3 linked regions of the Medicago truncatula genome follow. The protein of the gene in region 3 interacts with the protein of the main gene of each other region in a pairwise test. Links are inferred from orthologs where the notes say so. Each region holds a gene or a part of one and is shown on either strand. Other genes may lie near its edges.

What was found.
Region 1: the proteins of GRF1-interacting factor 3 (region 3) and growth-regulating factor 9 interact in binary tests that used the Arabidopsis thaliana proteins (3 or more experiments, as listed by UniProt). The link is inferred for Medicago truncatula from reciprocal best matches to the Arabidopsis thaliana genes GIF3 and GRF9.
Region 2: the proteins of GRF1-interacting factor 3 (region 3) and growth-regulating factor 5 interact in binary tests that used the Arabidopsis thaliana proteins (3 or more experiments, as listed by UniProt). The link is inferred for Medicago truncatula from reciprocal best matches to the Arabidopsis thaliana genes GIF3 and GRF5.

What each region holds. Positions count from the first base shown.
Region 1 is NC_053049.1:13,574,160-13,585,278, forward strand, and holds growth-regulating factor 9, read right to left. Parts: upstream 4,736-11,119; 5' UTR 4,519-4,735; coding exon 4,452-4,518; intron 4,358-4,451; coding exon 4,151-4,357; intron 2,930-4,150; coding exon 2,345-2,929; intron 1,880-2,344; coding exon 1,437-1,879; 3' UTR 1,275-1,436; downstream 1-1,274. UniProt on the Arabidopsis thaliana protein: Transcription activator that plays a role in the regulation of cell expansion in leaf and cotyledons tissues.
Region 2 is NC_053049.1:7,192,285-7,203,807, forward strand, and holds growth-regulating factor 5, read right to left. Parts: upstream 4,371-11,523; 5' UTR 4,019-4,370; coding exon 3,835-4,018; intron 3,704-3,834; coding exon 3,202-3,703; intron 2,933-3,201; coding exon 2,580-2,932; intron 2,392-2,579; coding exon 2,384-2,391; 3' UTR 1,960-2,383; downstream 1-1,959. UniProt on the Arabidopsis thaliana protein: Transcription activator that plays a role in the regulation of cell expansion in leaf and cotyledons tissues.
Region 3 is NC_053049.1:9,084,833-9,095,800, reverse strand, and holds GRF1-interacting factor 3, read right to left. Parts: upstream 4,926-10,968; 5' UTR 4,864-4,925; intron 4,773-4,863; 5' UTR 4,664-4,772; intron 4,469-4,663; 5' UTR 4,443-4,468; coding exon 4,362-4,442; intron 1,831-4,361; coding exon 1,754-1,830; intron 1,288-1,753; coding exon 1,203-1,287; intron 1,112-1,202; coding exon 713-1,111; 3' UTR 279-712; downstream 1-278. UniProt on the Arabidopsis thaliana protein: Transcription coactivator that plays a role in the regulation of cell expansion in leaf and cotyledons tissues.

The sequences.
Region 1 (11,119 bases), about 4.5 Mb from region 3:
GTTGAGCAAATGCGCCTGTTTCACAAATTCATTTGATCTTTTGTCTGTTTGTATGAATCTTAGCCATCGACTATGTTGGTCATCTATATGCTTCTGGAGAAATGCTTCATGCAGGACAAAACAATCCTCTTCAAACATAATAACTGAGTAGAGATTTTGAAGTTGGAACATGCTTGCAATTTAATTGTGTTCAAAATGCACATTTTTATTGTGCTGTTAGATAAATTGGTGTCATCCCAAACTATAGCTATGATGACCTTGTTGGTTTTTGCTAACTGATTTAAACACAAGAAACACTCCATATTGATTTTTTCTATTGCATCTTTGAGAACCATAATCAAACTTGAGCAAAGAAGACTCTAGCTTCACCAAGATTAGGAAATATTATTGCAGAAATTCAAATTTACAGAGATTAACACTAGCAGTACTAGGTCCTCCACTGTTGGTTACTTTGGCCATTTTAGCGACAAGGGAAGCCGATTCAGGGATTTAAACCCTGGTGTTGCCATTTGAGTGTGTCTTGTGGTGTTTATATGTCATTTCGACTAAGATGACAAGAACAACTAGTAGTAGCTAGCTAGTAAAATTTATTTTTAGCTCCTTCTTATAAGTCAGGAAGCGTCCAAGTTAAATATGATACAAACAAAAACAATGATGAGAATGAACAAATAAACATTCAAAACGACGTGAAGATACAATGATATGAAGCAACGAACGAGGAATCAAAACACGACCATTCGTCAAGGTTTAATTTCAAGTTTTGTAAAAAAACGAGTTTTAAAAAACTTGGGTGCTTATATAGGCTCAGAGTTAAAAATCAATATATATCCTGTTAGTCTAAATCAAAAATTAGCAGTTAGATTTAGAGATCAAGGTGACTTTTAAGTAGCATGTCTAAATAATTTTTGCCCCTTCGAGAACATCCGATAAAATTGGAACGATATAGAGACAAAAGATTGTTAGACTTGTTTACAAGCCAAATTTTAAATAAAAAATGTTTACAAGCCAAATTTAAAATTGTACCCTGTATTTATACATAACGTCCCTGAATTAATCTTTTAATTTTAAATTAGTGGTAAAATAATAAAATGGTATAAACTATATCACAAATGGTTTCGTGGTGTAGTTGGTTATCACGTCAGTCTAACACACTGAAGGTCCCCAGTTCGAGCCTGGGCGAAGCCATTTCCATTTTTTTTTTCTTTTTCATTTTTCATTTTTCTTTTGATAGGCCAAAATCTGTGCACATTGGTTGGTTTTCACATAAACAAACCTAAAATGCAACTTAGAAAATTTGATTCATATATTCTTCACCAACACATATTGATAATGTGTTAGACCTTTGCACACAAAACTGATCTCAGTTTGCAGATAGGTTAACGAAGTTCATTCATATATGAAGACCTAACATGTTTCAACAAATTAAACACAACTACTTAGAAAGAAAGATAGCTACACTCATTCATGGTGTCAGTGATGGTGGTACTAGTACCATCCGTGTCACCGCTGCTAACACTTTTCTCATTACAATCAACAAAGGGCGCACTTTCTTGAACCGACATTGAAAGCTTAGTGCTCGGAGACCAACAATTCGCTTTCTGGATGTCGATTGGAGCCGAAGGGTCGGGCAACTGAGCAATGGTAACAGCTGAACTAATATCAGTAGTTTTAGGAATAACAGTGGTGGCAGGAGGAGGAGATTCGAGGTTTGTAAAACGCCTTTTAGCACCTCTATGCATATGTGTTGCACAATACTTCTGACCTGGAAGAACCGCACTCTTGCATCGCCACTTCTTACCATCTGTTCTTCGGCATCTACCGGGTTCAGGTTCTAATATATTGTTTCTGTTGTTGAGGTATGAATCATTGCAACCAGAAACTGAAATGACAGCAGAAAATAAGCAAGAAAGGTCATATTAGATTTGTCATGAAAAGTTGACCCTAAAATACAATATTGACATGCAAATAAGAGATTCCTAAACAATACTACCTCTGTCGCTATATATAAGCTTCCTTTGGAAACAATTTTGTCCCTGAATATAAATCTCATTTTAAATTACTATATGCAATTATTTTAATTTTTCAAATGTATCATTATTGATACTAGTAATTTGTCATTGGAGATGAGAAGTCAAAGTTAAACAAATACACACACAATGACATCACCCTCATCTACCCTCAATGCTAGGCCGACCACTTAGATGCCTCTGCCTCCCCACTACCCTAGCCTTTTTATGAACGGCTTGTCTAAGGTAAACAAACTCACACTTTGTCACGCCTATGCAATCATCTAATCCCATGAATAAAAACACCCAAATTTGTTACAACTTGCAACAAGTTTTACCTGGAAGAACACTCTTTGGGGAAAAGCCTATTCCAGTAGAGATGCCAATACTTTCACAAGATATGCTTCCTTTCCGACCACTTTTAATACCCACGTTGTCGGTGATACACCTCTTGATCTGCTCATCTTGCTTGCATACGTTAGGACAAACTCTGTTATCCAAAGAAACGGATGTCGTGCTTCCCGAAGTTGTCACTGCAGTGGCACCATAATCTATGACATGTCTCGACCGATCACAAACAGAAGAAGTATCTACAACGCAGAAGGTCCTCGGATTGTATGAGAATGTGCCATTGTGATGAATAATCAAAGGGTTTGGATTTGAAACTGAAGATTTAATGTTTGGGACTAGTTTTGCATGTGACTTGCCACCACCACTAGGATTTGTTTTCAAAGGAGAGTTAAGTTGAGATGTTTCCACAAGCTTTCTTGAACGATTTCGACCTCTGTGCATGTGACGTTCACAATACTTCTGATTAGGTACTGTGTCCTTGCCGCACCTCCATTTCTTTCCGTCAGTTCTTCTACACCTATGTGGTTCTTGATCCACCATAGTCACATAATCAGACCCACGACGACTGTACTCTGAAATCGAAAGAAATGAACCGATAAAAAGGGAAAAGAGAAACAGTTTTCATAAACAATAAACAATAGATGTTTTCAGCATCAACATATTTGAGATGGACCAGGACCAATAAAAAATTAAAATTCATTAGTAAATCCTCTAAGCATCCACTAAACACAATTAACTGTGGTTTGTCAAAATTCATGGTTAATTACATTCAATGGATGGCTAACAGATGTAACGTCACAATTCGTTAATCATCCACTAAACACAATTAACAGTGATTTGTCAAAGTACACAAAGGGGCAATTGAACTACTACTCATTTTGTTCCTTTTTAACAGTCATTATAAGGTTGTTTACACAAACTAATCTATTAATTTTTGCTGCTTTCCATTAACAATTTCATCTATTTCCTACACTACCTGTAATAATTTGTCATCTAACTCACTTATTTTTCTCTCCGTCTCAACAATATATAAGAGGGATACAACAGCAACCATTAAGCCTTACACCGCTAAGTGGGACTGGGATCGGTTACAAGATCAAATTACGTCATAATGTTCTATAATGAACCATATTTTGATTAAATAATATTTAATGCTACTTTGAAATTTGAAAACGACAATTATAAAAGAACCAAATTTTTGAACAAAATAAACGACACTTAAAAAGGAGTCCTTTTATTGAGGGAAATGTTGCCATAAGTGGTAAGTATCTATAAAAATGTGTGTATTCAATGCATTACAAATCAAAATATTTACTCCCTCCGTCCTTTAATAGATGACCTAGTTGATAATATACATTATTGACTTGACATATTTTGACCATATTTTTCTACTAATTCACAAAGATAAATAATATCATGTAAGATGTTGTTGGATTCGTCTCGATGAATATTTTTAAAATATTAAATTTTTATAATTTTTTTTAGTAGAGAATTGAAGATATCAAAGATAAAACATATGCATTGGTACGTGTGTCAGAGTCAACTAGGTCATTTATTGAGGGACAGAGGGAGTAACATTTTTAAGTAATTGTTTAATTTGAAATGCTTAAAAAATGTCTCGGACACACTCGTTTGCAAGACCTTTTTTGTTAATCACAACTCTCACAAGTTACAACTTAATCAACTCAATCCCAAAATATACTCTTTCTCAACAAAACAAAACAAAAAAGGTGAACATGCATTAACTATTCTCTATAAAATTGAAAAGGGTATGATAAGAAATTTCAACAAACCTGACATATTACTTGGAAATTGCAAAAGGTAATAAGGAAGAGGAAGATTATAAGCAAAATGATTAAAAATAAAAACTTGATGATCAAGTTCACGCCTTTGAGCTTCTGTGATCAAAGGCTTGTTTTCTATATCTTCCTTCACTCCAACAACAACCCTTTTCTCTTCATCAACTTCACCATTCTCAATCTTCATCTGGGGTCCACCACCTATATAAAAAGACACAAAATTTAAGCAAAACAAAAACAAAAGTTGAAAGAAAAACATGTGATGAGAGAAAAAGAGAAGAGAGTGGAATGAAACCAGTTGTGCTGTTGTGTGAAGAGGGAACAAGTTGAAGAGGTTTAGCTTCCATTGTCAACATATGCATGAGCTTTTTCTTTTTGATACTGATGATGATGATCACTTTTGAATGAAAAGTAAAATGAACTATGTAGAAAAAGGAGTTAGGATTGAAATGAAAAGGTTCAGAAGTGAATTAGTAGAGATAGAGAGAGAGAAGATGTGAAGGTGAAGGAAAGGCAGTAAAGAGATGTCAGAGATTTTTCTGACAAAGGTTATTTACGTTTCAAGACTTTGTTGCAGGAGTGACCAGACAAACATATCTACATACAAACACCGAGGAAGCTTACGTGTACCGTATAGTATTTGGTTTCTAAATAAAAATCAAAATCGTTTTTATTTTCGTTTATAAGACCTATTTTAAAAGAAAAAAAAAAAATTCTTAGATTATTGTTTAGGAAGTACTTACCCTCTCATCATATCAACCAATCAAAAGGTAATATACATTGATAAAATTAAATGTCATAAATGAGTCAATTTTTTCTAAAAAAAAATCAATTATAATCATTAGGTAACTTTTAATTTTTATTTAATCATAGACATGATTACATTAGAGATCTTTTATCTTATTTATTTGTAACACTTTGGTCCTTTATCTTTATTTTTTTCCGTTTAGATCTTTTATCTCTTATAAAAGCACATATACATCATTTTTCTCATTCTTTTTTTAAAATTCATAATTTTATTTTTTAAAATATATTTTTATTAAAAATGAAAAAAATTCAGAAATATGATGAAGATGTCTATCATCTTCATCTTATTCCTTTGAATCTTCATCATCTTCATTGAATCAAAAAAAATTCTACACAAATATTTCTGACAATATCATGAATTAATGTTATATTCACCTCAAATCTTCTTTTAAACACAAAAATCAAAACCCTTTAGAGAAAGAGATTTAGTTTCATTGGAAGAAAAAAAAAAAAAAGATTGTCACACCGTATATTATTATTATTATTATTATTATTATTATTATTATTATTATTATTATTATTATTTTCTAAATCAATATTCAAATCCGGCATAAAAATAACCCCAAAATTGAGAGCAATTTTGCACATCAATTTTGTTGTTTCCAGAACAATCTTAACTTTCGTAAAGCCTAACCCTTCCGCCAGTGACTAAGCCTCCACCATCCGCCTTGCAACATTTGTGAAATTAAGGTTTTGATTTTTGTGTTTAAAAGAAGATTTGAGGTGAATATAACATTAATTCACGATATTTGGAGATATATTTTAGTAGAATTTTTTTTATTTAAAGAAGATGATGAAGATTCAAAGGAAGAAGATGAAGATGATGAACATCTTCATCATATTTCTGCATTTTTTTTCATTTTTAATAAAAAAAAGAGAAAAAAGATATATATGTGCTTCTAAGAGAGATAAATGACCTAAACGGAAAAAAATAAAGATAAAGGACCAAAGTGTAACAAATAAATAAGATAAAGGACTCATAATGTAATCTTGCCTTAATTATATTTAGGTGTTCAATCTTAATTAACTTACACTACAGGACTGACTTAGAACAATTAAAATTTCACATCAAATTTCTTTCATCTGGATGTCCTTAAATTTATCAGTTATATTCATAAAATTTATTCTTCCCATTTTGATTGTTCAATTTTTTCGTTTCCAACTGCCGCATTTTTTAATTGTCGTGAGAATCGTCGTCGTTCGTTTGATTCCAAATATCGTGAGAATTGTCGTTATTTCCAGTACCACGTCAGGTATGGTGACTTGATTTTTCTTTTTGATTTGATATTTCTTGGTTGTGAGGTAGTTAATTATAATAATTGAGTAAGTCATGTGTTGTACTTTAAGGGCTGCTTGCAGGTGTTGCCGCTTTGATTTTGTGGAAGTCTGCTAGCATTTTTTTGGTTGCTGCTGAAATTGTTATGTGATGAGGCTTTTGTTCTTTTGTTTGGACTTAAAGGCTTTGGCTGATAGTGAGGCAGGTCTATGCGTGTTAGCAGATTTTATTAGGTTGGTTGCTTAAATGAAAAAAATAAGTTACGATACCCGACGCAGTTCTAGAAACAACGACAATTCTCACTATAATTGAAAACTGCGGCAGATTGGAACGACAAAATTGAACAATCAAAATGGGAAGAAGAATGAAAAAGAAACAAGAATTGATCAATAAGGAAGAATAAATTTGAATGAATGAAATGTTTTTGTTCTCACGTTCGGGGTTCTGGAATAGAAGAAATTTTATGAATGTAAGTGATGAATTTAAGTACATCCAGATGAAAGAAATTTGATGTAAAATTTTATTTGTTATAAGTCTTGTGGTGTAAATTAATTAAGATTGAACACCTTAATATAAAAAAAAAAATCATTTGATGTTTCAAAATAAAAATTAAAAGTATTAAAAGTTACCTTATGATTAAGGTTAACTCTTCTTAAAAAAAAAATAATAATAATAAGATTAACTCTTTTATTTTTAGAAAAAATCTATTCATTTATTGGACATTTAATGTTACCTATGTATATTATATTTTGATTGGTTGATATCATGAGAGGGTAACGTAGGCCTCACCAGAAAAAAAAAATTGTCCCTTTTTATAAGACCTTTTTGATATTTTTAAGTCCATTAATTATTTCTTTATCAACATATCCTTATTTATTTTGCATCTTTTTTTCAATCAAAAATAAATATTATGTTGAAAACATAAATTATCTCTCTCTTAAAGATAAAATTGTAAAAACAATAGTAATTGTATACTTTTTTTTTCTTCCAAAAAAGTAGCTAGCAAAACACTAGACTACCGAAAATATAGATATAAGAGGAAGAGAAAAATACAAAGAAAGGGTGGGGGGCCAACCCAAACCCTCCTTAATGAGTAACAAACCTAAAGTTAGGCATCCCTAACTTGTTTTGAGATACAAAAGCGCTAATGCTGCTAGGGAGCTGCATCCATATGTAAGGAACATTACAAGTTAAACCCATGTTTGCCAAGTGATCAGCACATTGGTTACCCTCCCTAAAAATATGTGATTCAATGAAGTTCATGTTGCTCACAATGTTCAAGCAGTTATCTCATCTATTCCTTAACCTCCAAGGAACTATGGCTTTGTTTTGCCAAAGATTGAATCAAGTTCTAGCCAAAGATTGAACCAATTAAATTGTTTTGCTAATTCAATCACTCTCAAAGCACCTGATAATTCAGCATAATAAGCATCTTCTTGACCAGTATTCTCAGCAAAACAAAGAAGAAAATCTGAATTATGGTTTCTAAAGATACCACCACAGCCGGAGGAGAGAGAGGTTGAGGACCCATCAGAATTGCACTTTATCCAGTTTAGAGGGGCCCTAGGAGGATGCAAAGTGATGTTGAATTTTTTTATGATAGTAAAATCATACATGCAGGAAGAGGACATTTCTTAATGGTGGACCACATTTCTTCTTTAGATTGAAACTAAAGAGGACAGTTTAAACAAGTAGCAAACCACCTCCAAATATTAACTGCATACTAACATTGAAAAAATATATGAAAATTGGATTCTTCTTGAGCCAAGCATAAAGAGCACACTGAAGGAAGATGACATCCTCGGGAGGCTAAGACTTCATCAGTAGGTAATTTATCTAGCATCATTCACCAAACAAGCAGAGATTTGGAAGGGGAGATATCCTTTGACCAAATGAGTTTTGCCCACTTAATCTTGAGAAAGTGATGTTTTTTAAAAGCATATGCATCTTTCTGAGTTAGGTCACCTTTAGAGGAATGATTCCAAACTAGCGTGTCTCTCTGATCACTAGAAGGAAGGGTAATCCGAGAGACCAACGATCTCAGATTAGGGAAGTTTTGATTCAATTCTTCTGAAATGTTCCAATTGTGATTGTTGATATAGTTCTCCAACTTCTTAGGTAACAGCTGAAGCATATGATAATGCACGTTGTAAGTTTGAGGAAGAACCTGTCCAGACCAAGAGTCTGACCAAAAATTTATTTGTTTCCCATTACCAACTATCCAAGAGCTGTTGTTCATGATAACTTGAAATTCACCTTTAACTCCACTCCATATAGATGAGAAGATGTGATGATTAATGCATTTATGGTCTCTTAAAACTCTGTTTCTAATTATGATTGCCCATTGCTCATCTGACTGGAGTAAGTTCCAACACATTTTCAGGTTAGTAGCTTCATTCAAACATATGAGAGATTTGAGCCCTAGTCCACCCTCTTCAAAGTCTGTGCATATTTTCTTCCAAGCTACCGTTACCATTTTCCTCTTTGTGATATCACCACTCCATATGAAGTTTTTTTCTCCATATCTCTAAGAATTTTAATTGGCCAGGAATAAATAGACATTGTATGAACAAGCATTCCTTGGACCACCGATTTTACAAGTTGAATTCTTCCGACAATAGAGAGTAGTGAAGCTTTCCATTTTGCAAGTTTGGCCTTCACCTTGTCGGCTATAGGTTGGAAGTGTATGCATTTAGATTTACCCTTAAAGATGGGAGCCCCAAGATAAGTAAAAGGGAGTGAACCTACAGAAAAACCAAGCAAGTTGACAATATAATTAATTCTCGAATCTGTAATGCCACCAGCAAAAATAAAAGATTTTCTCAGATTACATGCAGTATATCTGGTGAATAGTAATTATATATAAATTTAATACTACAACCAAGTTTCCTAAACTCCGTAATTTTTGCAAAAGGCTCATATAATTAGAGACAGATGTAGTATAAGCCAAAAAAAAACTCATTTTCTTTGTCCCAAAATATAAGCAAAAAAGATAAACTTTTATCCTAATTAATCTTGTTTTTAAAAAAAATCTCTTTTTCAAGAAAAACTTTTGTTTATTCTCATAAAATTAAATGCAAATTACATTCAATTTTTTCTCTCTTTCATTTTTCCCACAACCAACAGCCAATGAAAATTGTTTTTACATCTTCCTATGAAACTTTTTTCAACGAAAACACAAAAAATTATACTTCAAATTCTTACTCCCTCCGTCCCAAATTATAAGAAGAAAAAAAATCACACTTATTAAGAAAACTAAAACATAAGAATTTGGAGTATAGTTTTTTGTGTTTTCTTTGAAAAAAAGTTTTATAGGAAGATGTAAAAACAATTTTCATTAGTTATTGGTTATGGAAAAATGAAAGAGAGAGAGAGAGAGAGAGAGAGAAAATTGAATGTAATTTGCATTTAATTTTATGAAAATAAACAAAAGTTTTTCTTGGAAAAAATATTTTTTTTAAAAAAAATATTAAATAGGATAAAAGTTTGTCTTTTTTGCTTATATTTTGAGACAAAGAAAATGAGTTTTTTTTTTTGCTTATATTATGGGACGGATGGAGTATGTTTTAGTTTTCTTAATAAGTGTGATTTTTTTTTTTGCTTATAATTTGGGACGGAAGGAGTAGTATTTTTCTCGGTTCTCATAATTGTTTATTTAGTAAATGGTTATTTTGATCTCGAACTTCAATGTCACATAGATTTTTGACTTACGATTAAATATAAAGTAGTGTCTGAACTCTGAATGTGCAGTTTCGTTATCACATTACTTCCTACCGTTAAAATCTTATGTTAACTGAAGAGGTGGCATACATGAGATGTTAGAGAGATTAAAGTGAAAGTAGAAAATTGTCACTTTGATCCCTTAATCGAAAATCAATATTTCCAAATTGAATGTTGGATGGGAGAATGTTCAAAATGTAATGTTATGAGGGAATTCAAATACTTTGAGGTGAATTCCATTGTTTGGATAATAATTTGAAGAATTTTCAAAATGATGAGAATTTATGAAGTATTTTGTTCAAGTTCAATTTAGAGAATTTCAAATGACACCTAAAAGGTAAGAATTTCAAAATTCATCATTGTTATAATCTTTCAAAATTTGCATTTTGGTCCTCATTTTATCAAAATTTTCAATTTGACCCCAATAAATTTTCAAAAAATTATAAATTGACCCTTCAAATTTTTCAAAAATTATAAATTGTCACCTCAAAATTTTTGAAATTTAAAAATTGACCCCTAATTTCAATTTTTAAATTTGGCCAAAAAAAATTTAAAATTTATAAAAGTTTCTCAAAAATGATGACATTGAAATTTTTATTACTCCACCCAAACAAAAATATTGAGAAATAAAAGGAATTTAATTAAATCATTTAAATTGCCTAGAATTTTAAATTCTTTAAATTTTCCCAATTACCTCACCCAAACACACTTGGATAGAGAATTTTAATGAGGGAATGTAATTTTTTGGAGTATTTAAATTGACTTGGCCCATATTCCATTGTTTGGAAAAATATTTAAGTCATTTTTAAAATTCAACAGATTTAGATAAGAATCTCTCTTGCAAAATTTGAAGAGTTTAAAATAACACCTAAGTTATAAAATTTGTAAAATTCTCTCTCATTTCATATCACACGCCTTTCACTCTCTTCTCTCGCGATGCTCACTCTCTTCTCTCGCGACTCTCACTCTCTTCTCCTCAACGTGCCTCTTTCCTCTTCTTTAGACTTCTTCTTCTTCTTCTTCTTCTTCTTAATCTAATTTAAGACATTATAATTGATGATTTTCACTTTGTAAACTATTAGAACTTGTTGATTAAGAGTTTTTTTGGATTTTAAGTTGTAAGAATTGACTTATTTCACTGTGTAAGCTTGTGGTTTGTG
Region 2 (11,523 bases), about 1.9 Mb from region 3:
TTTTTTTGTGCTCTTTCTACAATGGAGCAAGTCTTTAAGATGAACCATCATCTTCTTCCTACTCTCTCTTCTTTGTTACTTGGAAAAAGGAAAAAGTTACATATAGATAGTTCGCATGAAAGTGATTAGTGTGTGTCAGCATGCACAGGCATCTTATGTCAATTGGAATCCTCTCTGGTGCCAAAGCAGAGAGTATCATTTTGGAGATAGAAACTTTTTTCTTAAGATATGTATTTTATTCTCTAGAAGGACACCCTCTATTGGAGTAACTTAGAAAGAATATAATTGCAAATTAGGAGTGAAAAATTCTATACTTGCTGAACAATGAGGTATTGGGTTGGCCTTGTGATACTGGCTTGGGATTTGAAAGCGTGCTCCTCCTTTAAGTCTCAAGTTCGATTCTTCCAGGGCTTCTGAATTTATGTTCTTAATCTCATGGCGCGGGTATTGGTGGGAATTTATCAAAACTTTACATACAACTACATTGATATTAGTAAACGGTGCTTTGGATGCACACAGTTCCAAGTTAATGCCGGATAAAAAGATTTATGATTATAATTTTTCTTGCGATGGTCCGAGACAAGGTGGTACTTGTGATATTTCGGCTTGGGATGCATTTTATTTGGTAGTTTTCACACGTTCATCAAAGAAAAACCTTGTTTAGAAGGAAATGCTAATGCTAACGTGGGGCATTATGGTCTTTGAGTTTAACAATCTCAGCTAATATCCTTCATTTATTGCTATATTAACTGTGAGTGAGGAAACTATTGATGTTTTGGATTTGGATCCTCTCCGTTGAAAATTTTCTTCAATTTTCTCCATTTTCAATCTTCACTATTAAAATACAACAACTACTATTCGTTATAATTTAATTTTCACTTTCTTTCTCATGATTGATGGTTGAGATTTCACATGAGAAAATTTAAGAAAATTTTCAATAGAGAGAATCCTAATCCGGATGTTTTTGTCCCTCCTACTCTCTTAGCATGCAATAATTTGAATAATGTTTTCTTTCATTTAAAACAAAATGAACTATTGTCCAACCAAAAAAACAAAGCAATTAATTATTGATATGTATCCGAAACTCCCAACCACCAAATGATAGATTTACTTCAGAATTCAGATATAAAACGTGGGGTAGGAGAAAATTGTAATTTACAAAATAAATATGTCCAAGAGGGTATGAAGTAATTTTGTAGAATAGTACTATATAGTACAATTGGCACATGATACCCTTATGCTATGCCATTTTTCTGTTAGAAGAACTTTGAAAAAACACATTAATAATGTGTTCTCCCTTGTCCCTAAGTATAGAACTTTGTCGACTAAATCACAAGACATAAGAAAACTAGTAGTACGTAGCATTAAATTAGTTAACCATTGATATTGTTACAAATTTATCTTAGAATTGATTATTGTTACCACTAATTAAGGATATGCTAGTAACCAAATAATTAATAAAGTTTATAAAGTAAGATGTTATAGAAGTTTGGTTGTGTGTGGAAAGAATTGATTTTGGTTAAAAATAACTTGACCAAAAGTGATTTGTGTTTGAATACATTCATGTAAAAATGAGTCAAATTTATGTAAAAATGAATCAAATTATAAAATTGTGCGTGAAAATCAATTCTAGAATCAAAAACTACATATCTTAGTTTCAAGTAGAATCAATTCTAGTCGACAATAACTAAACAATTCAGAATCAATTCTAGTTCCTCTAGAAGTGGAACCAAAGTGAAGGATGCAAATTATAAAGCTAAACATGTACCTAGTTACACCACATTGATTTCTATATCCTAAGGGTGGTGAATGAATGAAACAATATAAGGTGTTGATGCAAAGTTTGAAACCTTACAACCACTCTAGTTACAATCAATTGGATATATGTTATAGAGAATTTTGATGTGGGGGAAGTGTCTCTCTCAGTCTCTCCCCACCTAATCTTAAAACAGTAGTAAATATATTGCAAAATATTCATTGCACATGTTTTCTGGCTGTTGGGTCCATACATCACAACATACAAGCACAAGCATCAGAAAGTTAATTTAAATTTGTCCTTGATTGATTGCTATTGCTACTACCACCCATTTAAAAAAGTAGACTGCATAAGCAACTTAATATGCTTTCCAGTCAAACATCTTAAGTGTGAAAATCTGAGACATGTTTTTTTTAACTTTTCTTCATGTTGAAGAAACAAAGCATATTATAATAATAATAAAATATATCATCAAGACACACAAAAAAATCCTAATGTGGTCCCCTACATAACACAATAAAGATCACACCTTTTGCTAAAGAAAATTCACCCCAGCCACACATAACATTTTGATCTTTAACTCTCTCTTGGCAGTATCCACCAGCAATTCTTAATCAAATAATAACTTCACTCATCTGCCAAGGATAATAAAGTATATAAATTTGTTAGCGTAGTAGAAAAAGCGGACAGACATAGACAGAAGTGCCTATCTAGACGCTAGTAAAGTGTGATAATATTAAATAACTTTATGGATAATAATATTTATATTAATAATAACAAAAAAAAAACAAAAACATAGGAATGATGATAAATGATAATCAACCTGTTGGAATTCTGGAGTTAGAAGCAAGATCTAGCCAGGAATCTGTGTTCTTTGGTGTCCACTCACCAAAGAAATGATGAAGTGGTTTCTGAGTTGTCTCACTTTCTTTGTCCTTGTTTGTTGTTCTTGTTGACTTGATGTCAGTGCCTAAAACAAAACAGTGTTGTTCTTGTTGTTGTCTTGAATTATCATCATTGATATTCTGAAACTGTGAGCTTGAGTAAGACTTAAAGGGATTCATTGATAGTTGTTGTTGATATGAATCATGATAACAGCTCCTAGATGAACCTGTAGCTTCTGGAAAGAAAGTTCTCTCATCCACAGTACCATCTCTTATTCCTTGAACTTGCCTCCTTTATCAACAATCAAGTACAATAACACATACACAACAAAATATCAAAACCTAGCAATTTTATATATATATATATATATATATATATATATATATATATATATATATGTTTATTATGATTTTAAATTGTAGTCTGCAATCGTAATATAAATATATTTAGAGGTCTCTATAACGGTATGACAACTGCAATTTCAACCGCATTAGATATAAATATAAAAGTTGGCAGCGTAACTGAAAAAACAATTTAGAATTTATTGGTTTTATACATACCTAAAGTCCTTGTCATCCTGAGAATAAGATGTTGAGTCCAAAAAGAGGTGATGAGTAGTAGCATCTTGAGTTTGAAAATGAGAATGATCAAGTGGTTTAGTAGAGGTAATTGATTGAGAGTAATAGTAAGGGTTTAAAGAAGAGTTTTGGTAGGATTGTGAAAAAGATTGTGACTGATCATGACAAGCCATGGATGAAGTAGAGAAAGGGAAAGAAGAAGGTGAGTTTATGCTGCTGCTGTTGTTGTTCAAGGAGATGTTTCTGTTGCTGTAAGAAGATGCTGTGTTTGTGTTATTTGTTGGTGTTGTTGTTGAAGAAGAAACTACTAGTTCCACAGGCTTTCTTGAACGGTTTCTACCTCTGTGCATGTGTCTTTCACAGTACTTTGAGTCTGGATATGCTTCCTTTGAGCATCTCCATTTCTTGCCATCTGTTCTTCTGCACCTCCCTGGCTCTGGGTCTACTTTTCTGCCAAATCCCATTTCAAAACATCCCCACCCAACTGCACCATTCACAGTTATGACAACAAACAAATATAAAGTATACACATATATATAATAACAACAACAACATAAAGTATATAGTATTTCTTTTATCATAAAATATAATAAAAAGAGTTATAACAATACTTACTTGGTGGATGAGGAAAGATTCTTGAAGATATTGAAGTGTCTAAACTTCTCTTAATAGAGTATATGAGATCTGGTGGAATAGGTGTTCCAGTAACCATGTATTTAAAAACTAGGGCTTGTTGTTCAAGTTCTTGCCATTGATTTGGTGTGAAAAGTGACCTATTTCTTGAACTTGCACTCATCATTTTTTGAGAAACAAAAATAAGGATTTTCTTGAAGATGCTTTTATTTAAGAGGGTTAAGAGGGGTTGGAGATTATTGTACTGTGCATGGATGGATAATAGTTAATGAATATGAAAATTGTGTTCTGCCACCTCTTCACTAATTTTTGCTATGTGGTGGATGGGTGAGATAGTGAGTCTGAACTTATAATGACTGAACCTGTGATGCTTCTGTTTTTTTCTCTGCACCTGCCTTTGTTGTTGCTGCTGCTGCCCTTGTCTCTGACATCTTTTACACAAATTCATAAACTAATGTACAAAGAAAAAATTAAATGCAAATGCATGTTAGTCCATGCACCTTTGGTTTTGCTGTCTCCACATCATTCTTTGAAAACAGTGCCATCAGATTATGTCAAGTGTAAGCTGCTTAGCTACCTATACTGCCTATTTTATCATATATCATGATATAGCATCAATTTTTTTTTTCTCTTCCTTTTTTCTTTATAATTTTTAGATTAAGAATATAAATTTGATTCCTGAAGTTTAATATTTGAGAGACATTCCAACCTCGCATAAACAATAAGGACATCCTATTATCAACTTATGAATTGGTTATATAGCACGATCAAAAGATCTAAACCTAAAGTAAGATATTTTGGAGTGTTTATTAGAGGTCAAAAAGTCCTTAATCTATAAGAAATTATAGAAGTTTAGACTCAAGCTTGAGTCACACGACGAATGTGAGCAAAAAGTCTAACCATACCAATCGCAATTGTAGTCGGTGGTATAAATCTCTTTTAACAATCTTAGGATATGGTATAGCTTTTGAATATAAGAAAGTCTAGTACGTGTCATTTATAATCTTTTTTGGTTTAAGCATGCCTGGCATGATCTTATTCATAGATATGGGAGGTCATTGGCTAAAGCTGAATCCTTTTTTTTTTTTTTTTTAGGTACGGAATGATGTGTTATCTTTTGTTACATTTTCTCACCATTAGGCATCTTACTTTCAAGGATAGAAATTAGGTTACAGTCAATTTTGGACTCTTATGTTTCATTGGGTACAGTCATGTCATGATAATCCTTTACATGTTTGGCTGTTAATATGATTTCTTCAACCACAAGATGAATACATCATCTTTTTGGGCCATATAGGAATAACAGTAAGTGTGTGTTTCACTTCTCCTTTTTTAAATATTAAAGTTATAGCTTGGTTACCAAAAATAGGCTTTGGCCAAATCATTGTTTGAGGCTTTTCTAATACGGTATAAGATGAATTAAACAAGATGTTATAAGTACATGTCTGGATTATATTTTGTAGTTTCTAAATTTCAGATTGAATAGAAATATCAAGTTTGATACAACTTCTTTCTAAATTACTTGTAATTTTATAATATCAACACATACAATAATTCCAATAAGGAATTTCACATTTAATTTAAGTCATTAAACATTTAATTTCTCAAATGCATTTAAGTCATTAAATATTTTTTCTCTCTTGATTTTAACATTTAATTTCTCAAATGCATTTATTTTTTAATGGAGAAGATTTCATTGGACCCTCCAGTCACCGGAGAGGATCCATTCCCCACCAATAACAACAACGAGCAAATGATCAAGGAATGCCAAGACACCAAATCTCTACTAAAAACTCAACGCATAAAGTATATATTATGGTTTACCTCTCGTATAAATTTAATATGTAACTCATTTATATAATAAATGTGAGACACTTGAGTCCAACCATCTCCTTCTCAAGTGTGAGTTTTCTACATCCTATACTTGCACATCTATTAACCAATAGAACACGCCCTTACTACAATGCGAGAAAGAGTTCAAATACAAGAATCCAACATCATGATCCACTCCAACTCCACAATTAAGTCGAACTAAGACTCTAATACCATTTGTTGAGGTGTTTGATGGAGCGTCAAGAGCAATAGAACCAATGATCCATGACCACGGTAGAGAAACAACTAATCTCTATTAGAAATCTTAAGACGTTTGGTATATGAGTCACACCTATTATATATCTAATATTTAACTCAACTACATTGGATGTGGGAAACCACTCACACTCGAATCCAACAATCTTCTCTTAAATGCAAGTCTCCCACATTCTATATTTGCACTACATAATTCCAACATAACACGTTTTCTATGAGGACTTTCAATACAAGGATCCAACACTAGGATTCCACCTCCACTCTCCCCATCAAGTTGAATCAAGGCTACCATACCAGTTTTTGGGGATTCTAGAGGAGAGCTGAGAAAAACAACGAGTCAATGATCAAGGATCCGTAAGAGACTGAACACCACATCTCTATCCAAAATTTAAAGATTGAGTATATAAGTCAAATCTCTTATATTACCAACAATTTCCTCATAACCAATCAACTTGAAGATTACAACTTTTATTACTTTTAAAAATTATGATTTGAAAACTACTAATATAAATACCTCTTCTCTTTTTACATGCTATATTATATCTTCTTATTAGGAATACATGCTGTTTAATTCAGTCGTTCAAGCTTCATAAACTCCTAATTTGTGGTAACTAATCATATCATATAAAAATACAAGATACATGACAAATTTGAATGTCAAACAAATATCAATATAGCAGCAAAGTGAAAGGTCTTTATATTTATTTATTTTTGCTCCCTCACACACACAGTGTTTCAGAGTTATAAGCATTATTTATCATCATCATGATGATGTAACTTTTGAAGTTCACTGATGCTGGTTGGTACAGTGGAAGTAAAAGACTATCTAGCTGGTTCGTGCTTCTTGTTGTTTTGCAATTGAAAGCACTTGTCTTTTTTTTTTTTTTTTCTTCTACAGAAGGTGTCAGGAAAGTGCACTCTGAGGGTTAAAACTATTCACAGACACTGTTTCTCTGTCCCAAAACACATGCTTTATTTTTATTTTTCACACACCTAACTGAACCTTTCATATTGATTAACCCAAAAATTTCCTCAATAACATTTTCCTTTCAGCTTTTCTCTTTCTTTTTTTTGTTATTTGCTGGCTGATTCTGTGCTGTTACATTGCAGGCTTAAAAAGATCACCTGAGTGCCTTTTGTTTTTTTCTTTGACTGGAATCATCAGAGACTATGCACAGGACTTCTCCACTTGTAATTATAATATAATATAATATTTTTAGCATCATATACATTAATATATTAAACTAGTTTTGGATTTCTTGCACATTTTTCATTTGCTCATTATGATGCTTTTCTTTTAGCATCCAAAATTTAAATTTTATCAAAGTCATGGTGACATATTGCGATTAATTATACTAAATTAAAGACTAATTCAAACACACATTATTTTGATTAAAATTTAGTTGAATATACAATGATTTATGCTAGCTAGTTATTAACATTAAAGTAAGTTAACTATGAGGATAATATTGATGTGTTGTTGGAATGTTCACTGCAAGGCAAGCTTGGCGTGTGGTTCAATTATGGAACACAATTGACAGAACTCTCCGAAAAAATTATAATATGGATGCACTTATTTTTACTCTTCTTGATCAGCTGCCTTTGGTCCAAAGAGAGTTATTTGTGACGATTATGTGGAGTATGTGGAAGCGTAGGAATTTGAAATTGTGGCAGCAGCAAAATGAAACGATCATGCATGTATTGGAGCGTGCAAAGCATACCCTGGATGATTGGCGATCAGCCCAACAAATATGGTTGCAAAGAGAAGATGTACCTTTGACGCACCAAGGCAATTCTAGCGATAGTATGGTGGTGGAATGGTCGAAGCCGGCTTATGGTAGGTATAAATGTAACATTGATTCCTCCTTTTCTTCTTCCATGAATATGTGAGTATCAGGATTTGTCTTCGTGATGACAGGAGCGAATTTGTTAGTGCTAAAACATATTGTTTTTCCCCTCTTTGTAATGTTGTTGTGGGTGAGGCCGTAGGCTTTCATACGGCGTTGAAATGGATGGCGGAACTTCACTATGATAATGTCGACTTTGCTTTAGATTCTAACATAGTGGTTGATCATTTTCGGTCTTCTTTAGAGAATGACAATGAGTTTGGATGTATTATGCATGCTTGTAAACAATTGTTTCAGATTAGTTTTCAGAACTCTTATGTCGAGTTCAATAGGAGGCAAACCAATGGGATCACTCATGCATTAACTAAGGTAGCCCCATCTCATGCTAGCTTCCATGATTATGATAATGTACCGTCATGTATTTCTTTTTTGATTGATAATAAGAAGCAATGAATTTCTCCTTTAAAAAAAACATTAAGTAAGTTTGTATGATAAATTCAAAACTCAAAATCACACTTACAAGTTAACTTCAAGTTACACATAAATATTAGACAATCGAGCAATACACCACTAAGCTTTTTTTTTTTTATAGCAAAACCAATTATTGTAAAGGAGACAATTTTATGAAAAAAATACTCAAATATTTTAAAGAGTGTGTTCGAAAATTAGTATCTCCACGGACATCACTTTGGTGATATTGAGGTGCCAATGTCATGGCCAACCACAATGTCACAAGTGTGCAAAATGACAAAAAATGCTTGTTAGTGAGTAAGAAGAAAGTCATAATTTTTTATCATTTTGTACACTTATGATATTGTGATTGATCAATATCACCAAAGTGTTATCCGCATCTCCACACTCCCACCATGAGTTAAAGTGTGTTTTTATTTTATTTTAATTATTTATTGAAACGTCATGCGCTATAGTAAAAATATGCCAATGCCATAGAAAGATGGGTAAATGTGTGGTGGGATCTAGTCTATGCAGCTCCAAATTAGGGCCAAATATATGAAATCAATGTTACCTGTCTTTATAAGCACTTTTAACTCATAAAAAAACTTCTTTCTTTTAAAAAAAAGACACTCATACAAAAACTAAATTTAAACGTACCAATAACATGTGGGTAAGATTTCTTAAAAAAAATAAAAATAAATAACATGCGGGTAAGATGTAAGATGGTTTGAATCTTTCAAGTAAGAGGTTGAATAATGCTAATGCTAGAGTAACATTTTCAATACACTCTATTGTTGAGTTATAATTCAGTCGAGGGTGCCGTTTTCGATAGGAGATTTAAATAGTCTCCTATGGTGGATGACTTTATAAAAAACTAATTATTTTTTTTTTTTTATTTTACAATAAAGATAACATGTGTAAACATTAGATGGTTGAAGAACACTGAACTTACTGTATTCCCTTAACATTGAATTTTCTTCCCACTTTCTTCAACCTCAGCCAAAACAACCATAGGAAAAAAACATTTTCTTCCTCTTTCCGTTCTCTCATCTCTTCCGCCGCCGCCGACATCCTCCTTCCCCACCACCGTATTCTCCATCATCGTCAAATTATATACTTCATATTCTTCCTAATTACTTTTATCCAAATTTATCTTCATGTGTTCTTCCCAAATCCAATCTTCTTTCATCTTCACCAATTTGTTCTTAAAAATCCAGATCTAAAATCAATAACCAATCTTTCCTTAAGGAATTTAAAACCTGTTAACGATGCAACTTTAATTAATAAGAAAGAAGACCCACCAATATGATGAAACTGGCACAGCAGGATAGGATTGGACTTTTATCAATGAAATTGAACTAGCGCCACACAACATTAACAAAGGCTCACGACACCAACAACATGAAGGAAGCAAACCCACTACACAAATAAAATTTATACATCCTTAAGACATGTCGTTGCTTTCCACCCATTACACAAACACCAAACCCCATCATTCTCTTAATCAAGAAGACAACCTACCCACTGAACTCTCTCAACAAAGCCTCAATATTGTTTTGTTTAATTGAATTATATTTTAATGATTTTCTTGTTCAATTGATGTTTGTGGTATTCCTGTTCATAAAAAATAATTGATGTTTTTAACAACAACAGCAATTAAAATATGAGAGGGATTGACCAAAGAGTGGAAGTGTACGGTGTTAAAAGAAGGATGATGGGGTGGTGGTGAGCGAGTAGGGAATAAGCAGAGACATGGAGAGGGTTAGAGAAGGATATATGATGGAATAGTGTAAAAAGTATCTAGTGTTGAGAGAGTATAATAATATCATGGTCATCAAAAGTTTTCAAATATATCCAATGATTAACATCTATTTTACAAAAACAAAATAAAAAAAGTCAAGTCTCCTACGGTAGGAGACCTAAAGAGATCGCCTACCGTAGCCTTTGCCTTCAGTCGAATATAAATGTATGTTATAAAGGACATACGTGATTATGTAACGTGAATATGTTACTAACACTCTTTCAAAAGTTTTAAAACTTATCTTCTTTAGATTACTACTAACTAACACTGAGAATAACAGTCGCCCAATATTATAATTATATATTCCATGTGAGATTAGTCACTTGCTCAGAATGTAGATTATCAAATATCATATTCTCATAATTATATTTAAAACTTATCTTCTTTCTTAGTGCATTTATAATGATGGATATTTTAGTTATTTAACACAAATTAAAGCTAAATTGGGAATTTCTATGAAACACGGATATGTACATAGATATTGGAAACGATACAGATATCGACACACCGACGCCTTTAATAATATGAGAAAATCATATAATTTAGTATAATTTATAAGTATCAGTGTCGGACGCGACTCATGTTCGACACCGGAACACGCCTTATTCAAGGAGTGTCTTTGCTTCATAGGACATGAATATCTATAGAAAAATCCTCTTTTTCTTCTGTATTTGTGGCTTCCACGTAACAAATTTTATTAAAATAAACTACCAATACACTTTTTTTTAATAAAATTTATTACGTGAAATACAATGATACAAAATTATTGATAAAACCTATTTAACATTTTTTTTTTTGAATGATATATACACGAGACATTCTTAAACATCCAGACACAGGGGAGGGGAGCTTTTATTATAGATGCTACGTAGTTTATCACTCAGAGTTGTTCTCTTTTGTTTTTTGTAAATAGTTGTTGTTACTATTATTTACCCAACCAATAGCCTTAGGTGGCATAAATATGTATTCATCATAGACGTGACAATTTTTAATGCAAGACAGTCAAAACAGTAAACAATTAATAACAATAATCAGAGCGAAAATAAAAATAAAAATTATACTAAAAAATCCAGGTTGATAAAACAATTGCTCCCTCAAGTACTTTCAATTTCAACAATACTAACCAATAAAAAAAAAGTACTTTCAACAATACAGTATAAAATATAAATTATTGTTGCAAAATATTCATGGCAAGTCAGGACGAATAAATTACGAGATAAATTATAGACAGGAAAGTACTACGAATATCATTCAGTCATGAATTTAGGGGACACTTTTTTTATATGACATCACAATTAAATAAGGACATTCCATAAAAAAAACAAAAACTACGACCATATACATCTTAAACTTTGGATCGACTCCTATAAAGTGACTATTTATTAGAAATAACGAGTCAAACATGATTTATGATTTACACTTTCCTAAAAAAAAAGAATAAAAATAATTGATTTGCTTGTAAACAAATGATATTTCTCGCTT
Region 3 (10,968 bases):
AACTAGACTATTTCAAATCCCTAAAGTTTTGGAAGTGAATAATGATTTTTTATTCAAAGGAACTAATAATATCACTAAATTTATGTTTAACTAGATCATCTCAAGAATGCACTCAACACATATCAAAACAATAATCCAAATCTCTATTGTTATCAAATCCTACAATCACTGTAGTCAATGGATCTCAGTCGTTAGATAAAGATCACACTACACATATTATAACTATCTTAATCGAGTTGAAAACACAATAAAATACGAATGGTTTGATATTCATCCAATGGTTGAAGTCGATGATTGCTTGAATTGTAACAACTAACAAGAGAGTATCCAATAACTCCTCACCTTTTCATCATTTGAGAATCTTTGAGAAGTATGAAAACAAGGTGAAAATTTATAAAAATTACTGAAAACTAAGAATGAACTAAGAAACAACAATCACAAACTTGAACGACAGTGCACTGTTACTATGGATCACAAACTTTCACCTCTTTAGGTATCGAGTACTTCCTATTGCGGCAACAACAATTTCAGTCGACACAAACTCGCTGCATGCCAAAACCCTAGCAACACAACATCACATCTACCTAAGCTCCTCTGGTCGACCAATCAAAGGGCATCAAGATCATTCTAGTCCTGCTACCTTTTTTAAGAAAATCCTACTATCAACAGTCACATGGTATTGTCTTATTAAACAACATACACGAAAATCACATTACTTTCCCTCTTCTGAAGCATCTCCACTGTTGTGCGCAGCTGCGGCAGAGGTTCCTTGACCATCACCGCCGGCTGTCCCAGCTTCCGAAGCATCTTGCTTGCTTCCACCACCACGCCCGTCATTTGGACCACCACTGCCGCTACCTCCGAGAGCAGCCTCGTTGTGCATTGGATGCATGCCGTTATTTATCCCTCCAGGTCTAAGTCCCATTTGACCTTGCATAGCTTGCTGATGTAGCTGCTGTTGTTGCTGCTGATGCTGCTGATCCTGCATTTGATGCGGATTACCGAACTGCATTGGCATTTTTTGGGGGAACATTCCTTGTTGCTGAGCCATTGCTGCAGCCTGAGGATGTTGCATATAGAATCCTTGTTGCATCGCAGGGTGCGGGGCCATCTGCATAAATAAAACACATTACAAGGCAATTAAATTGGTGTTATGGAAAATTCTTCCGACTTCCAAGACATAAGCTAGGATCTATTTTAACCTGTGGAGGCAAGGCCGGTGTTTGTGGCTGCGCGTCAGCAATTGCAGCTAAATACATCAAATTCTTCTGAAGCTGAGCTTGGTACCTAAGATGTCAAATTCATCACACAACCATAACATAAAACCTCGGCAATGTACCGATGTTGACACAAACATCTAAGAGAACAATTGTTTGCATATAGATTAAAAAAGTTATATTATTAGTAAATTCGACCATCAGAAATGAAGACCATTATAAATTACATATTATATGCTTCAGTGAAACGTCAAATCAAATGTATTTTAAAATGTAAGGGATGAGAGGAACAAGATACAATCAGGTAATAGTTGGCAGTGATATCAATAGCAGATTGCAGAAAAAAAAGGTTTGTTTAAATTCCACTATGCAATATTGCTGTAGCGCCACTATTTCACAATATTCTGTACTAAATAGCATATCGCAGAACAATAGTGATCTGGTTAAATTCCACTATGCAATAACCTATAAAACTGCTATTTAACAACACTGAATGTTGGTACTAACAATGCAGCGAGATTTTAGAGATAACTTACTGGGCACATTCTGCAAGTTTTCCAAGATTTTGATTGTCCAATATTGCCAGGATCAGCTTCTTGTTCTCATCAAGATACTGCATCATATGCCAAGAAAGGGCTTTCAAATTAAATAATGAAGTAATAATTCTTGTGATAAATAGATAAATAGAGAGAAAACCTTGGGTTAAATCATGGAAATTTCCTAATACATCAAGAATAAATGGACAATTTCATGATAATAAATTTATTAATGGATCAATGTTTGGGTGAACAGCTTGCTCAAATTCTTATGTGCAAGTTATTTCGATAATCAAGGAGGAGTTGTCCAGATAAGTTGTAAGTTGTTTTCATAAGCTATTTTTACTGCAAAAGCAAAGAGAATGCATTCAATAACCACAGCCAAGCACAAAGTGTGCATGGAAGGAAAAAAAATACAAAGTTCTGAATTAAAATCAGACTTAAAACACCAGAGCCAAACTGACTCCGAAGGACAACACGCCAAAAGAAAAATGAGCAAGAACTAGAACGAATGCTACATAAAAACAACTGCACGGACGCCAGCCAAATTGTGACTCAGACTGCACAAACATCCCCCAAACTTCAAATGTTGCAGATGAAAACAGTCCCTTGAAATGACATTATACTTCCCACCAAAGCTTGCAGACCCGCAAACCAGTGTTGTCAAACATCAGCCATGGCGCCAGATATTGGTGGTGGGTTTTTGGCTGTTTACCATGGCTAATTTTGGGAAGGATGGTGGCGCAACGGCGTCATACTCGGATATGGTGGCGCCACATGTTGTTTGGTATGGCGGGTATTTGGTTCTCTGCCATGGTCCGCCATTCGCCATGGACAACACTGCCACAAACAGAACAATCTGATTTCATGCAGGAAGGTTGCAACAAGGCATGAAATTGAGCCTCATTACTCTACCCCAACTCCTTGAAACTAATACAACAATGGAGCAACATGTATTGAATAGTTTTCAATACAACCAAACTTTGCACTTGGAAAGGAACCACTCCCAAACTACGATTGCGTCTCAGGATTTATAATCAGCTTACATCGGAAAATTCACCATCATCCTGTAAAAAACAAACTGCACTATGGGCCTTCAGTATACTTCCCTCACACTTGAGAAATTAAGTATAAGACCTCACTAATACTACTCCCTGACTCACAAAGGCCGGTTGACCAAAGCAGCACAATTGCCAACTCAACTCGCATGCCACCGGATGCATAAAACTCCACTCAGTTGAACTATCATAGAGCCACATAGAACACCTGTGCTAAAAAATTGTCCACTGCAAACTTAAACAAATAATCCACCAACACCTACATAACCAAGAGGGCTAGACATCCATTGAGAAATTGAATATTTGAAACTTTTTCCTTGAGTGTAACCATTTCCAAGACAACAATTTACACTGTTCTAGAATTACATCCGGAAGAACCACCTTGCCCTAGGAAAGTTGCAAGATTTCTAGCTTTCCAAATTGACCACACTTAAGTTACTTTCATAAGTTCTCCCAAACACATGGTTATGCCTATGCTGAGATTGATGGTCTAGTATTGATAACAAGGGCTCTGATTGATTAGTAAGACCATATGTATGTGTGTGCGCCTTTATTATAGGATAACTATAATTAATCATCTTGCTTGTGTCCGCTTTATCCTTTCTTTTAATAACTGTGCAAAGAAGCAATACTAATGCCCTTAAAATTTCAATTGAGGCAAACTGTTCAGATTCTAGACACCGATGGCTGTCACTTCTCTCAGCTGTACATTTTCTTCAATTAAAATAAGTAATCATAATCTGTCTATATTCTTCTATCTTCTATCTATCCTAAAAAAAAGTCTAGTCCTAATTATATGTGGCAGAATTTTCCAGGTCTGTTTTAATTAAATTTCATGCTTACTCAACGCAGAATTAAAGAGTAAGGTAATTTCCAAGGGTTTAAGGTGTCTATGTAGGATGATGACTCACGCGTCAAATGCAGAAATCACATGTTTATGATCAACAAGAGGTTCTCAAGATAGAGAATCTATCACACAAAAACAAACTAAGACTCAGCCTGCCCGACAGGTACAAGATGATGTTCTCAGCAAGTAGATATAGATATATACAGAATTACAGGTACGCCTTTTGGACAATAACAAACTAACAACAGGCGTCAGTTGACATCAAGAAAGCCGAGAAATAATCAGCACACATGATTGTACTGAGTGGAGGTATAGACTCAATATAAACTAATTTGATTCAAACCATCACGGAAATACATACTTAGACATCTAGATAATTATCTCAAAACAGCTCAAAGATGCACTTCTTGTTCCTTCTTGCTTTCCTTTGTTGTGCAAAGAATTAATCGAGACACATGATATAACTCTTACAACAAAATCAGAAAAAATAATAATACATATTATAAAAAATCCAAATCATTATCTTCTGTTTAACAACCATAACTTCCCAGTATCCAAATCATTCCAATGAAGGGAGGAACAATAAAATCCAACAAAAACTTGAAATAAAAATCTATATAACTTACAATTGAAAAATAGAGTTTTAATTTTTTTATCATCAAATTGAAAAATAGGGATTGAAACAGTGAAAAAAAAAACATACTTTTTGAATCTGCTCAGTGGTTATGTTTGTTTGTTGTGGGAATGAAGGCATCATAGGAATCATTTGAGGTGTCTGCTGCATCTTCTCCTCCTTGTTATTTATTTTCACTGAAATAATTTAATAAAAAAATAAATAAAATAAAAAACCCTAAACCCTAATTAACCAAAATCAACGCAATCAACAGTTAACAAACCCAAACCCCAAATAGAAACCTATAAAAAAAACTCATCAAGGATATAACATAATTAACATAAAAAAGTATAAAAGACAAAAACTTTAACAGAAAGAGAGAGAAATAGTACCTGGGTTTTGGTTCAGTTGAAAAAAAAAACTTTGTGAAGTGAAACTGAAGATGTTTTTGTAACAAGATCTTTGTTGTTTTGATCTTTAAGGATGCTATGTGTGTTGTTTCTGGAATCCAAAGACAAAGAACAAGAACGTGAGAACAAGGAATAAATTAAGGTACTTTAACAAATGTTGTTGAGTTAGAATAAAATATTACCGAACCAAAGAACAAAACTTGTTAAAGACTAGATTTGGTGTGTGAGTGTGGTTCGGTTTAGGTTGTTCCAATCTTTTACCTCAAAAACGACAAAGGGGTTATTTATATGTCCGCGCGTGCGTATTCTTCTTGTACTTCGTTGTTGTTGACTGTTGCTTCGTTCGGTTTGGGGTACTACAGTGTTTTTATAGACCGGATCGCTCAGTTCAACCGAGAGTTGAGTTTGGTTTTGAATCGGTTCAACCGGAAAACTATTGTTGAATTCGTGTTGGTTGGATCTTTAGGACCGGTTTTAATTGAGGTAAGTTTGACTTCATTAAATATCGGAGCAACTCGGTCTAATCAGACTTTTAAAATAGATGGTTTAAAAAACTAGAAAAATCAAAGAATTAGGGTTGTGAGTTTTTTGATAGATTTTCTAAAGATGTTATATGAAATTTTATGGAAATCTTAAGTGAAATTGGAAAAATTTACTCTATATTTTCTCATGTACAATATTGACTATCGCAAAGCTTGAATCTAAGTTTGTTAGAATTGGAATCTAGCACAATTGAACCGTTCCTATGAATCAAGAGGTTTGGTTCTGTAAGTGAAAAGAGGTCTATAATAAAAATATATTTTTTTTAAAGAACAATGTTCTATTTAAATTTTTTAAAAGATAAATACAAGGTTCGGCCTGTAATAATTATAGATTGTCGAACTACTTTAATGATAGATTCATAACAGTATACAAGTGTAACGACATAGCAAATCACTGCAAAATAACATTGTTATAAGTTATTACAAACATTGATTCTATTTGACAAAATATAGTCAGTAAAATCTTTCAAAATTAACTTTGCATCATATATTCCCACACCATATGTCAAACGGAATAAGAAAATAAACATCTAATTCAACAATTCTAATATTCAAGATTATCATAATTTCATAAACCTAGGGTTATATCACCAAAAAAATTGAACTTTTTGACATAAAAACAAAAACCCTAAACAACATTAATAAAAAAAACCGAAGAAAAAGAGTGCAAGAATGTGTAAAATTAAAACAAAGAATGAAGGTTTATACCTGAAGAGAGGAAAAAAAATAGAATTTTGGAGTGAAAACTTTGAAAATCTGTGTTATCTATTGAAGAGAGCCAGAAAATGTGTGATATATATTTAATCGGTGTTGAGAATTTGTGGTAGCCTGGTCGGAAATTGAATCAGGGAAGAAGGAAAGGGAAGTCTGATGGAGGAGTGGTGGTGATGTAACACGTCGTATGAGAATCAGAAGAGAGAAAGAGAATAAGGAAAGAAACACAGGTAGTATCAGAGTTCTCATAAGGATTTGTTTTAGTGGGGTAGTACTACTGGGCTATATATATTTTTTTAGGCCCATACCTTGGGGAGGCCCAACTCCATTGAGCTGTTTGCACCTCCAAAGATCCGGCCCTGAGTATAAGATCGAAAGAGTAGCAGGATTGTAAAATATAAGATTGCAACAAAAAAGGAAGAATTTTACACCGTGAATTTGTAGGATCAAAAGGTGATAACAAGACTGTAAAATGTAAAATTACAACCAAAATCAAATGATCCTAAAATAAAATAAAATAATAGTTGTATATATACATGGCAATACTTGAACATGAGTATGTTTTAGGGAAAATGTGAATGTTGTTAGAAAATTAGGGTATTTTTGAGAAAGGCGGTGTGGTCGAAAAAGGGTTAGTTTTTTTTTTTTTTTTTTTAAATAGTTAAATGTTATCTACGCTAGTTTTGGGTCAAACATCCAAGCTTATTACACTAAGCATGGATTCTATGCACACAATTTGGATAGTAGAGGCTCAGTAAAACCGCGAACTCGATCATTTTAGAATTTAATTTGAGATTTTGATAAGTACCCTTGAATCAGATTTTCTATAAAAAAGAAATAAACAAAAAAAAACTTTTGCGTAGCATAAATTTATGAGGAGGTGAACTTATGAATCTAAAGGGTTATAAGTGAAGTAATGAAACGGTAAAAAGTTAAACTGAAGATAGAGTAAATAAAATTTGTTATATTATTGATATCATTGAAATAGATAATCATGATTAGTTTGATTTATTATAATTTGAAAGCAAAATATATTTATATTTTTATTTTTAATCAAAATTAAATTTTCATAAAAAAACAACGTTCATAATTTTTAAACTTTAGCACATTAAAAAGAGTCGAAAGACGGGCACGTGAATACCCATCTTTTCGCTAGTACATGATATTTTTTTTATAGAGACGGTGATGATCAAAGTTTAGGGAGTCAAGAGCTACTTACAATAACAACAATTGTTGTTCTAACATCAAAATCTTCTTAGAAACCCGACATGTTAAATACTAAAATACCCTCAGCGGTAGTTAACTACCGCTGACTTTATAACTAGAAACCCGACATCAGTTGACTACCGCTGAATTTTTTAATCTTTTTCATGTGTTTCTGGAAAACATTCAATGTCAGAACAACAACCACAATAACACGCCTAACAAAATAAAAAGTGTTGGGCCATTGCTCCTTTTCTTTTTTAAAATTTTATCATATACTTCAATAATTATACTCCGACCTCTACATTTAGCGTGAAGTGTCTACTTTGCTTGTATATATAAACTAAAACTCTTCACTTATTCCTCAAAGACTTTTTTTCTTCCAGAAAACATATTTTAACATTTTATTTAAAGTAAATTACACTACCTAAATTAGACCATCCTCTATTCATAAGTTGAAATATACGATCTTATTCTCTTATACAAAATATATTAGAGAATATTACATTCGCGTCTCCTAGAATAAAAAACAAACTCCGCATGTGTAAATCATTAAATTTAATATTCATATATGTGTTGACCTAGTCACTTTTTTAAAATGGATTTAATTTTTGTAACCAAAAGTGTTAATTCGAAAATTTGGAGAAAAATCGTCGGTTTCTAAAAACTGTGATGCCAAAAGTACAATTACCGTTTCCTTCAACAAAAAAAAAAGTACAATTACCGTATTTTAAAAACATCATCGTATCTAAAAAAAGTATTTTAAATATAAGTTTTATGATCATTGGTTTTCCTTTGATACGTTTTCAACTTTATTTCATCCACTTCACTTGTATCACCTTCAAAAGTTTTTTTTCTAACTTCAAATCTTCTCCAATACATCAATAAATTCTCACCACTATAATTATTAATTTCACTAAGACCAATATTGTGATGTTGGTATATTATAAGAGTTTTAAGGATTTTATGCAAGCTTGTAAATGTCCACATTGTCTGCTTGAAAACAACTTTAGGTTATGTGAGTAGTGAGTGCAAATTCTGCATAGGTTGATGCAGTGATCTGCTACTTTCCAATTTCTTGATGGCGGCGCCTACTTAAACTACAGCCAAGTAGTTATGCCATTGACCACTACCTATTGAATTTGGATGAAACATGTTGATGAGAATGGCTTTGAAACATGTTGATGCCAATCATGACTTACTTTATAAAGCAATAGCGTCACTAATTCAGTAAAAAAGAGAAATATCATCAACCCACTTGAGTTGATCTGATGATGTTGATTTGAGACTTTGAAATATGCCTTTGTCAAGATTATTTCTTATGTTAATTTTGATGGTCTATTTTATCTTATTAAAAAAACATTATATTGAATGAAATTCATATAATTAAGTGAAATTTTCCAATAAATTAGTTTTATTTGTCCATAACCTTCCTGTTCTTGTTTGAGCAGAATGTCTTCTTATAATTTGAAGTTCGATAAGAATATGTAAAGTTTGGTTAATACTTGCTCCAGTTAAGATTTAAATTTGTATTATTCTAAATTATTCGTTATTAATCGAAGCTCAATTAACCAATTGAGTAGAGCCGGTCCAACATGTTTAATGATCTAAATCAAATTTTATAATGAGGTTTTTTAAATAAAAAAGCGCCAGACATATAAAAAAAAAAATCAAGTTTTTGTTGAGTCCAACCAAGGTTTGAGCATGGATAATAGAGGTTATGAGACCACATGTTGACTAACTGAACTAAGCAAAAATCTATGCATATGTTTGGATCGATTGTCCCGTTCTGCAAACTTGCATGGACAACTAGTCTATCTGATCTCAAGTTAAAGTGAGAGATCAAACATCTAACCTTTCAATGTTGACTAATTTCCTCCTTCAATTAAATTTTCTCCTTATACAAAAATCAGATATCAAACTTCTGACTACTTACTTAAGAAATTTCAATTTGTTTCACAGACCAACTCATTATTGATAGTAGTAATAATTCCACTCAAAAAAATCTAAACCTATCTAAATCAATTGTAGACATTTTGTATAATTTTGTCTCCTCTAAGATTGAAATCAAGCCCTACATTTTGTCGGTTTATATTGGAAATAGACTTAACACATATACCCAGTCATATATTCAAATAAGATTTAGGGAAGGCAACATCTCTGGCTAGCATAAGTGCATAACCTTACTTTATTTCTTTCTCGTGCTTCCACATCACACATATGACCTAGAATCTTATATATTTTTCCTACCATGATATTTTCAATTACGTAATATATTACATTAATAATGGAAAATAAGGTCCCTAGATATCGACTCTTTATGTCATGTTATAAGAGATATATAATATTTTGAATAAGAGACAAAGAAAAGAAATATCATTGGGCTAATATTTGGCATATCTTGTGCTAACAAATACTTGCAATTATGTGAATAAATTTTTTAGTTTAAGAAAAAAAAAACAAAGAAAAGGAATAAAGTGAATAAACATAAACATAAACATATGTCTTCATAAACATAACTCAGTTGGTGGTGATATGACAATATATGTAGACCGGGATTTGAACCTCTAATTCCCCACTTATTCACCAATAAACTACTTAACCACAAAATAAATAAATAGTGAATAACTACTTGACCACAAAATAATTCAATAGTGAATAAACATATCCTTGAAAAAAAAGTGGATAATCCATAGAAACTACTCCTAGACTAGAAATGCCAAAGGGAACAACAATTATTTTGAACCTTACATTACCAAATATACAGCATCTACTAAGAAGTATTTTGAACTGTTTAAAGAAGAAGAAAAAATACTAGAAGCAATTATCAGGGATGATAATATATATCTATATATAACACAATTTTTAACTCATATATGATATATAACACCTTACTTTCAAGTTCTATATAGTTTGAACTATTTCCATAATACTTAACATGCACAAAATAGCTTTTAGGCCAAAGATCATCTCTTTGGATGACAAATTGACTCATCCATTGGATGAATTTGAATAAGATGACTTATATTAGAAGCATCCTCTAACTCTTCATCACTCTTGGAAATAAACAAGTGAGAAATGAAAAGGGAGAACCAAATAATGAGTGGAGTAAGAAAGAAAATGAGGCCAAAGGGTACCATCCAAAGTTGCCTATTTGTTGAATGATATTTGTGATGCCACCATCCAAGCAAAGATCCTCCAAGCATGCTTATCAACAAAGAGAAGACCAAAATCATCATGTATTGCTTTGTTATTATCCTCTTGCTTTCATTGTAGTCTCCATTCTCCACTTCTTTAGTTTGTTCCATCTAATTGTAGATCAACAAAGAAAAGAGGGTTGCCCTGAAATTGAAAATAAAACAAAACATGTTTCTCATTTGCTTAAAAAAAGGTATATGTCAAGAGAAAGTCTCATATTAAAATTTAAAATACAAACATGAAAAAAAGGACACAAAATAAACTTGCTTGCAAGAGGGTCTTGAAGAAGAAGAAGAATTATGGTGTATGGTCAAGGAATTGTGGTGAATATGATATATATATATTAGAGAAGATAGAAAAATATGTACTAAGGGGGCAAGAAGCACATGATAAGGGATTTTGTTTCTACAAGTTAATATATACACAAAGTTTGTTTTTATTGAGCAATACTTATCTGGGTCAGGGAGGATTTTACTTTAGATTGAAGTTGTCACTACTGAATAAAAGACTATAAAAATTAGGCATAATTGTATACATTATTAGCACTACTTGATGAAGTGTAGTTAACTGGGGTAGAAAGGAATTGACATTTAATATTAGTTAAGGGAATAGTTTTTTCATTTGGACAAC